Mus musculus: one gene and its partner. The protein of the gene in region 2 interacts with the protein of the main gene of each other region in a pairwise test. Links are inferred from orthologs where the notes say so. Each region holds a gene or a part of one and is shown on either strand. Other genes may lie near its edges.

Region 1 (4,609 bases), about 3.1 Mb from region 2:
GAGCCAGAGGATGGGGAAAACGCTGTGAGAGGCTGTCTTCAGGACACAACATGGCTGTAGCACACAGAAGTTGTGACTGCCGGCACAAAATCTAGCCACGTGACATTCCATCACAGATTGAGGGCTCATGAGGCTCCCTCCACCCCTAAGTGAGGAGCCATTGGCAGTCGCCGGCTTCTAGGGAAAGGGGGAATCATTTTTCTTCCTTCTGGAGTGTGTCCCCTTGGCAGGCCACCCATGCTCTGGTAGACAGCCCCATACTGATTTGCATGCAGGCATCCTTTACTGGACTCAATTGATTATGTAAAATTTTTAAAGAGAAAAGGAAAGAGAAGACATGAAGGTACAAGACTGTTAGATGTACGGGAGGTTATCTGAGGATAGAGGAGGGAGGATTTGGGTCAGTTATCAAGATACATTGTATCCGTGAATGAAATTGTCAATAAATAAGTAAGAATAATCAAGAAGAAGCAGTGGCTGAGGCAGCAGCAGCACAGAGGTGAAGTTGCAAAAGGATCCCGGCTACTAAGTGTCAGGGCCTCAATTAGAGAAGCCTTTGAACTTCAACCCCATCCTCTCTGCATCGCACTGCTCCAAAAGGACAGCGACCTCCCTGTGGTTTTAGAACACTACCATAAATATAGCACCAGCTAGCACCTCACTTGCATTAGCCCTGATTTACAGAGGCTAACCCTGCAGGGCTGAGAGGCAAAGGAACGTGTTCCGGTTCCCTAGAAAAATGCCTTGTTCTTGGAACTCAAAGCTCACTTAAGATTACTTTGTTGACAACCAACTACTGAAAAGAGCCAGGGAGTATCTTAGTCTCAAAATAGATTCCCTGACTAAGTAAAGGGAGCGGCCTCTGACTGCTGTTCAGCTCTGAACTCTTTTTGACAAGGGGCATCCCTGCCATCCAGGTTATCCCAACTACAAAAGAGCACCAAGTAAAGTTTGCCCCTCAGTTAACCAGGATGCCCTGAGGCTCAAATGTGAAAAAGCAACTTTGGGGCAGAGGCTGGCTCCCACAATAAGCAACTGTCTCTTCCTTCTCTCATTTCTCCATCTCCCAAACCTATTCTACAGCCCAGGACCCAGAGCATGCAAACAGGGTGAGGAAGATCTCATCCCTGCAAGGGAGGAGAAAGTAAAACAATTACAACACCAACATTTCTATTTCAAAACAAAAAAAGCCAAAAAAAAAAAAAACATTAAGTTATTAGCATAAGTCCTAGGCGCCATACAAAGGGCTCTCCTGCAGCTCACTTGCTTTTAGCTTGCATACCTACTCATTTTACAGATAACAAAACTTAAGCTTGGAGTTTAAAGGGTAACCAGTAAGCAGTAGGGCCAGGGCAAAGCCCCAGTGCTAATGCAGACTAATACTTCCCTACTGTAAGGAGCTCATTAATCACCTGGGAAGACTCGGTGAGACCTTCACCAGGTCTAGTCTGAGATCTGAGCTGATGCGCGCTTCTAGGCTAGCTAGGAGGCAGACTCCACTGTGAGTTTCCAGGGCTGCACTGTTATATCCCATTAAGTGGCAGCCTGTATCACCGGGTGGGTTCCTAAAGTTTCACACTCGCCCTGCTCCATAGAATGTGCTCAGTAACTTACTAAATGAATCTATACCTCCAAAAATTGATGCTTCAGCACTTCCCTATATCAATCCCATTATGTCATTCAACCTTCATAACAGACCTATAAGGAAGGAAGATTCTCCCTTGACCGACAAGGAAATAGGCTCAAAAGAGTAAGTGACCTAAGCTTTTCAGCTTTTGTGCGGCAGACGACCACAGCTGTCTCCGGGGGTACAAGACAAAATAATTACAGACCACTGAATGGGAAGAGGGGTGCCATCTCAGCACCTAACAGGCTCACCGCTCCGGAAGTCACCCGGAACTCTCAACTACTCCGGGGATGGAGTAGCCCTGCCCGGTGCTCCGGGAGGGAAATAGAAAGGAGAGGAGGCCGGTTTGGGGCACAGTGCCAGGCGGCAGAAGACAGCTGGTGAGGTGAGCCCCCTGACTTCTCCATTAGCCCCGCTGATTTCAAGTCCCCGAGTGGGTCCAGCTCTGGAGGAACCCTGTCCAGCTTTGGGGGAGAAGGGGTAAGAGGGTTACGGGCGTCCAGGGAAATCGCAGCTAGGTGATGAATCACCGAGCACATGACCCTGCAGGGGAGGGGAGGGTGCAAAGCTCCGCGGGATGAGGCGGGGGCTTGGGCGGAGGGAGGCCTAGCGCGCAGAGCACCCCTGCGGCCTGGGTTAGGGGAACTAGGAGAAGCCCCTCTCCCACGCCACTTATCCTGATGACCGATCCCCGCAGCCCGGGGCCCGCCTGATCCCCCAAGCGCCGCGGACTCACGGCCTTCAGCTGCTCCAGCCGGTCCTTCATCCTGGCCCAGGTGAGGGCGGCGGGCGCCTTGTCTCAGGTGAGCGCGTCCCAAGTGAGCGGCCTGGAGCGGCGGCGGCTGCCGGCCGGGGCGAGAGAGCTGCTAGAGCGGGCGGAGGCGGGCGGCGGCCGCTCTCGAGGAGGAGCGTCCGAGGCCACCGAGGTCCGCCGCGCCGCCCCCTCCGGCCCCCGCCGGCGCCGCGCTCCAAATCCGGCTACGAGACCGCGCCGGCTCAGGGCTCGCCCGCCCCTGGGCCCGCCCCATACCTGGGCCGCTCCCCGAGCTCCTGCTTAAAGGGCCAGCGCGCTCCAGCGCCGGAAGCATTCCGGGCACACCTTCCCATGCCCCTCGAAAGGCAGAAACAAAAAAAAAAAAAAAAAAAGGCGGGGGTGGTCTGTCTGGCTTCGATTCCGTATTTTCCGCACTGTTCTTATTGTTCGGCCCTCTGCGGACTCCTCAGGTTGAAGACAAGCTGGTTCCTGCTCCCTTTGATGAGGGAAAACGTTCCGATGATGCTCAAGAGATATTCCGCCTTAAAGAAGGGACCTGTTGGGTATAAAATCTGTGCGGTTCGGGCTCAGAGACTTGTTCCCGTAGGGCGTAACTGCAGATGAGATGCCCTGGATCGGGCTGCGGCGAGGAATTTGGGGATTATGATGCTAGTGGTTGTGGGGCCTCTCGAAGTCGTGTAGGCGGTCCAGTCACCTTTTACTAACAATTTGAATAACTTGAGGGAATCTAGGAGAGTCCGTTTCCATAGCTATATAAATCAGAGGCTGCTTAGCAATTTTCTGCTTAGCCTGTACGAGAAAAGAAGCAACTGACTTTTAACTACCGGGCAGAGTTGTAGGATAAAGACGTTTGTTTGATTTGGAAAACTTAAGCCCACCTCTCTCCTCCTTGCTGTCAAGAGCCCTGGGATTTGAAGAATTTTTAGAAAAGTGTGGTTCTTCTCACTGCCCTTCCTCTTCAACGGTGCCCCTATTCCCTTCCCCTCCGTATTTGATTTGGGGATAACAAATGGCGTATCGACCAGAGTAGTGGTCAACAATTGGCGCTAGTGAAGACTTGGTCTCAAGTTCGAGAAGTATCCTCGACTTTGTGTTCAATCTTAAAGGCCATAGATACTTTCTAATTATAACCGGACTTTACCCTCTGCGATGTGCACGCTCCTACTGACTTCCTCCGCTGCCATAAAGGTAGTCAAGTAAGGCAGGGCTTGAGCTGTTAGAGCCAACTATGCGGTAATCAACTCTAATCCTCTATCTGACCTCCGGCTCCTGTCCTGACGCTGGCCCAGCGAGGACTGCGAAAGTTTCCACGCCCCCTGGTGGTCGTAACCCTACAGCTAGGGCTTGAACACCCCCACCCCAGCCCAGCAAACACTTGGAAAACCTTCCGCCACCGAGCTCATTCTCTAGCATCAGCCCTTAGGTTTTCTCCTTTCAGACAGAATCTCCCTGAATTGCCCAGGCAAGCTTTGAACTTGCCATTCTCCTGTTTCAACCTCTCCAGTAAGAGGGGTTACAGTGAAAAACTCTCGAAGTGTGGACGTCTGAAATCTGGACAGAAGTGAGGAAGGAGGATGGATTCATTTTGAAGCAAGAACAAAGGATTCCAGTTAAGACGCGATTGATTTTAGGCTGCAAAAAACGGCCCTGCAGTAAAGAACACTGACTGGAGGACCTGGGTTCAATTCCCAGCATCCACATGGTGACACACAGTTCCAGGGGATGCAACGCCCTCTTCTGGGCTCTGCAGAGGTTACACACATGTGGTATACAGACATAATGCAGGCAAAAACATTCATACAAGTAAAAAAAAAATTTTTTTAAGTCCCAGCAAATTATTTTAAAGGATATAATTGATTTCAACAGGGAAAAAATTGTGACTCTCATGCAAATATAAAATGAATATATTTTAATGTTTTAGCTTATTAGTGAAGCAACCAGTAAGAGGTTAAACTCATTCAGATCCACAGACAAACAGCAGGAAGGCTGGCATGAATAGGTTACTTGATGCAAAACTAGCTCTGGGGATGGGAGAAGAAACCGTGCTTCTCCTGTACACTAAGTCCTTATAATCTCCATGAATAGAAGCACTCTGCTTACTACCGATATCTAATTTACATAGCTGGACAATAGCTGTGATACAATGAAAGTCACAGACTATTATAGAATCAGAAAGGTGCATTAGATAAGGCCACCATAGGATACAT
Region 2 (3,809 bases):
TAGGAAACTAGAGTGGTTTTTACCTTTTCCTGAGTAATATTTAGGTACTCTGTCAGCATGTTGTAGGTACAGTTTTGCCTTTTGAAAGGGTTCTGTGGCCTCACAGGGTGAAGTAGAGCAGGAAGGCGGGGACAGAACAGTCATTTACATATGATCAAACCCCAAGTTCCCTTCTCTGACTTCTCTGCTAGGAATGAACAGAGCTAGAAAAGTCTAGTGTCACCTTCTGACCTGACTAGACGCGTACACCATTAGCTGGTTTCCTCTTGACTTCCCTGCCAGAGACAGCCAGAGACTCTTCACAGAGATGGTCTTCATGACTGAAGACTCCCTGCCTAATGCTTTTCTTCTGGTCTCTTACCAGGATATCAATAGCCTCAACAAACAAATTGCTCAGCTTCAAGATTTTGTGAGGGCCAAGGGCAGCCAGAGTGGCCGGCATCTGCAGACCCATTCTAACACCATTGTGGTTTCGTTGCAGGTGGGACCTTGGGGATGGAGGAGGGAGGAGAGGAATAACAAAATACATTCTTTGACCCAATTGTCCTTGCCTTTTAGTCAAAGCTGGCTTCTATGTCCAATGACTTCAAGTCAGTTCTAGAAGTGAGGACTGAGGTAAGTGGGATCAGTAGGTGGGTAAGGACCTATTGTAGGGTCCACAGACCCACTTTCCAGGGACTCAGGAGCCGTGTATTCCTCCCCAACATCAGAATCTGAAACAGCAGAGGAACCGTCGGGAACAGTTCTCCAGGGCACCAGTGTCAGCCCTGCCTCTTGCCCCCAACAACCTTGGTAAGTCAGTAGTAGCACTATGGGAAGCCTAGGGGCTAAGTTCTTCTGGGTTTGGTGGCATCCTTTAGACTTCAGAGTGTAAACACAGTAGAGTAGGAGAACGGAGCTGCCAGAATGGTGCTGTGCATTATCTCAGAGGACAAACTTGGTTTTGAAACTTTATGATCTACACTTAACCCTTGTGCCTTCTCATGGGAAACATGAGACATATCATGTAGACATATCAGAAAAATGACAGTGTCTGACTTTTTGTACTTAGTTACATTCTCTCTAATTTTCACAACCAGCCTTTGGAAAAGCAACTATTGTTAGCTCCATTTTGCAGATGAGGAAACTGAGACTCAGATCAAATAATCTATTCAGAGCTGGATTTAAATCTAGTGGGTTTTGAATGTGTTTTTATTTTTAAAGCTAGGGTCTCATGTAGCTTGGGCTGGCCTCTAGCTTGTTAGCTGAGGACTAAACTATCTCCACCTCCCTATGACTAGTATAACAGGCAAGCACCACCATGCTTTGCTTGAACCATGCCTATACATTCTCATGTATGCACTGTGTGTGTGTGTGTGTTTTGAGAGACAGACAGACAGTGGCAGTCAGACAGTGACAGTCAGGGTTTCTCTATGTTGTCTTGGCTGGCAGATCAGATTGGCCTCAGACTCATAGAGACCCCCTTGCCTCAACCTCAAGAATTCTGGCATTAAAGGCATGTGCTACCAATGCCAAGCCCTGAACCTGCTTTTAACCATTAAAATGTGCCATGTCCTATTTTCCTCCCAGGAGGTGGTCCCATAATTTTGGGAGCAGAGTCCCGAGCTTCCAGGGACGTGGCTATTGACATGATGGACCCTAGAACAAGCCAGCAGCTTCAGCTCATTGATGAGCAGGTACCCAGGCTCTGAAATCTGGAGAATCAGTTTCTCTATTGTCTTCTTTGTTCCCCTGAGTGTTTGGAATGTGTCATGGTGAAAAAGTCTTAAAAACCTAGGCCCTAGTTCATGGTGTTTTCTTCTTCTGAAGGATTCCTACATCCAGAGTCGGGCAGACACCATGCAGAACATTGAGTCTACAATCGTTGAGCTGGGCTCCATTTTTCAGCAATTGGCACACATGGTTAAAGAACAGGAGGAAACGATTCAGAGGTGAGACACTCTCACCCCATACAGTGCAGCCTTCTCTTCTCCATGGATTGATATCCTGAAGTCCCTAGGGACAACTTGGTGTTCTTTGGAAGAGTGGAGTGAATCCTGCCTACCCACTAGTCCTGTTCCCCTGCTTCTACTCATTCCATAAGAATTTATTTAGGGGCTGGTGTGGTGGTGTATGCACGCCTTTGATCCCAGCACTCTGGAGACACAAACAGGCAGAGCTCTATAAGTTTGAGGCCATCCTGCTCTACATAGTGAGTTCAAGGACAGCCGCTGAGGCTACAGAGAAGTCCTTTAAAAAAAAGAAAAGTAAAAGAAAATGCCTACCATGCATAAAGGTTTAGGATCTGTCCTCAGAATCATAGAGAAAACAACTGGTAGGGACAGCCAACTGGCTCATCCGGCAAAGGCATTTCCTGCACACGCCTAGTAACACGAGAATGGTAACTGCTGCCAGATAAAGGTGAAAGATTTCAGCGCCACAGGGTTGTCTTGTGATCACCACATCCATGCCTCCTACCCCATAATAATAAATAAAAATGTAAAAAAAAAAAAAATCAAACAGCTGAGAAGGGAGCACAGTGTGCTGACCTTAAAGTACAGCTACTCTCGAGGATTGTTTGAACCAAGGAGTTCAAGACAATGACATCAGACCACCATGATCTGCTATGTGGATGCTGGGAATTGAACTCAGAACTTAAGTGAGTGCTCTTAACCACTGAGCCATCTCTCCAGGCCCACAACCATATTTAACCCTAGTTTTAGGAGATCCAACGCAGGCATCAGGCATTTAAAAGTTGATTTAAAATGTCAGCAGCAGAAAATGTCAGTGGTACTGTTGTAGCAGCCTGAGAAATCTGTAGAGCCCGCGGGATGTGGGTGCTCGCTCCACAAGGCAGGGTGAAACAAAGCTGACTTTAGAGAGCAGAAAGACGGTGAACCTGAGAAGGGCAAGGACAGTTCTTATGAAGCTTGTCTGCTCATTATGTTGAAAACTCCTGAGGTGCTGGCTCAGCTGTTAAGAGCACTGGCTGCTCTTCTGAAGGACCCGGGTTCAATTCCCAGCACCCACATGGCAGCTCACAACTGTCTATAACTTCAGTTACAGGGGACCCAACATTCTCACACAGATGATAGCCATGCAGAGAAAACACCAGTGTACATGAAATGAAAATAAGTAAATCACTTAAAAAGCAAAAAAGAAAAAGAAAATTCCTGAGGTGTAGGCAGCTAAATGTGTATCAGAACGGGGTGCAGGAGTTTCCTGATGGATGCCCTTTTAATTTCCTGACTGTCCTGCAGGCCTTGCAGTGTCCTATAGCTTCAAGTTGTTTGCTGGCCTTGTTACTGCTCTTTCAAAACAGAAAAGCTTGGTTCTCCAGTGTTATTTGGAAAAACCAAATATGGGCTTCAGTGGCACTGCTTATATTACTTTGTATGGAATAACTTGAAAGAAGATGCTGTGTAACTTGTATCTCATTAGGAAGCATTTAATGTCAGATTGCATTTATATCAGGGAGGACAGATATCAGAAACAGTCTTCCACCCCATGATCAACTCCAGGACCTTGTACATGCTGGACAGTATTCTGCCATTAAGTTACACACTCAGTCATTGTTTTTAGCTTTTTTCCTCTTGAGTGAGAAACTCAAGGCAAAGCTCAGCAGATAAGTTTGCTTGCTATAAAGCCTTGATGGCCTGCATTTGGTCCCTGGAACCCACATTGTAAAAGAGAACCAGTTCCCACATGTGTCCTTTGACCTCCACATGAGGGCCATGGCACATGCATACTCATACATACACACAGACATACAAAATAAATATAAAAGAAAAATTCTTTTTTTTTTTTTGTTTTTTTTTTGTTTTTTGTTT

Evidence for each region.
Region 1: the proteins of Stx5a (region 2) and Stx3 interact in binary tests that used the Homo sapiens proteins (3 or more experiments, as listed by UniProt). The link is inferred for Mus musculus from reciprocal best matches to the Homo sapiens genes STX5 and STX3.

Annotation. Positions count from the first base shown.
Region 1 is NC_000085.6:11,816,329-11,820,937, forward strand, and holds the start of Stx3 (syntaxin-3), read right to left. Parts: upstream 3,076-4,609; 5' UTR 2,394-3,075; coding exon 2,364-2,393; exon of another isoform or gene 2,325-2,363; intron 2,013-2,324; exon of another isoform or gene 1-2,012. UniProt on the Homo sapiens protein: Potentially involved in docking of synaptic vesicles at presynaptic active zones. Apical receptor involved in membrane fusion of apical vesicles.
Region 2 is NC_000085.6:8,748,097-8,751,905, forward strand, and holds part of Stx5a (syntaxin-5), read left to right. Parts: intron 1-364; coding exon 365-481; intron 482-558; coding exon 559-615; intron 616-710; coding exon 711-792; intron 793-1,569; coding exon 1,570-1,676; intron 1,677-1,809; coding exon 1,810-1,931; intron 1,932-3,809. UniProt on the Homo sapiens protein: Mediates endoplasmic reticulum to Golgi transport.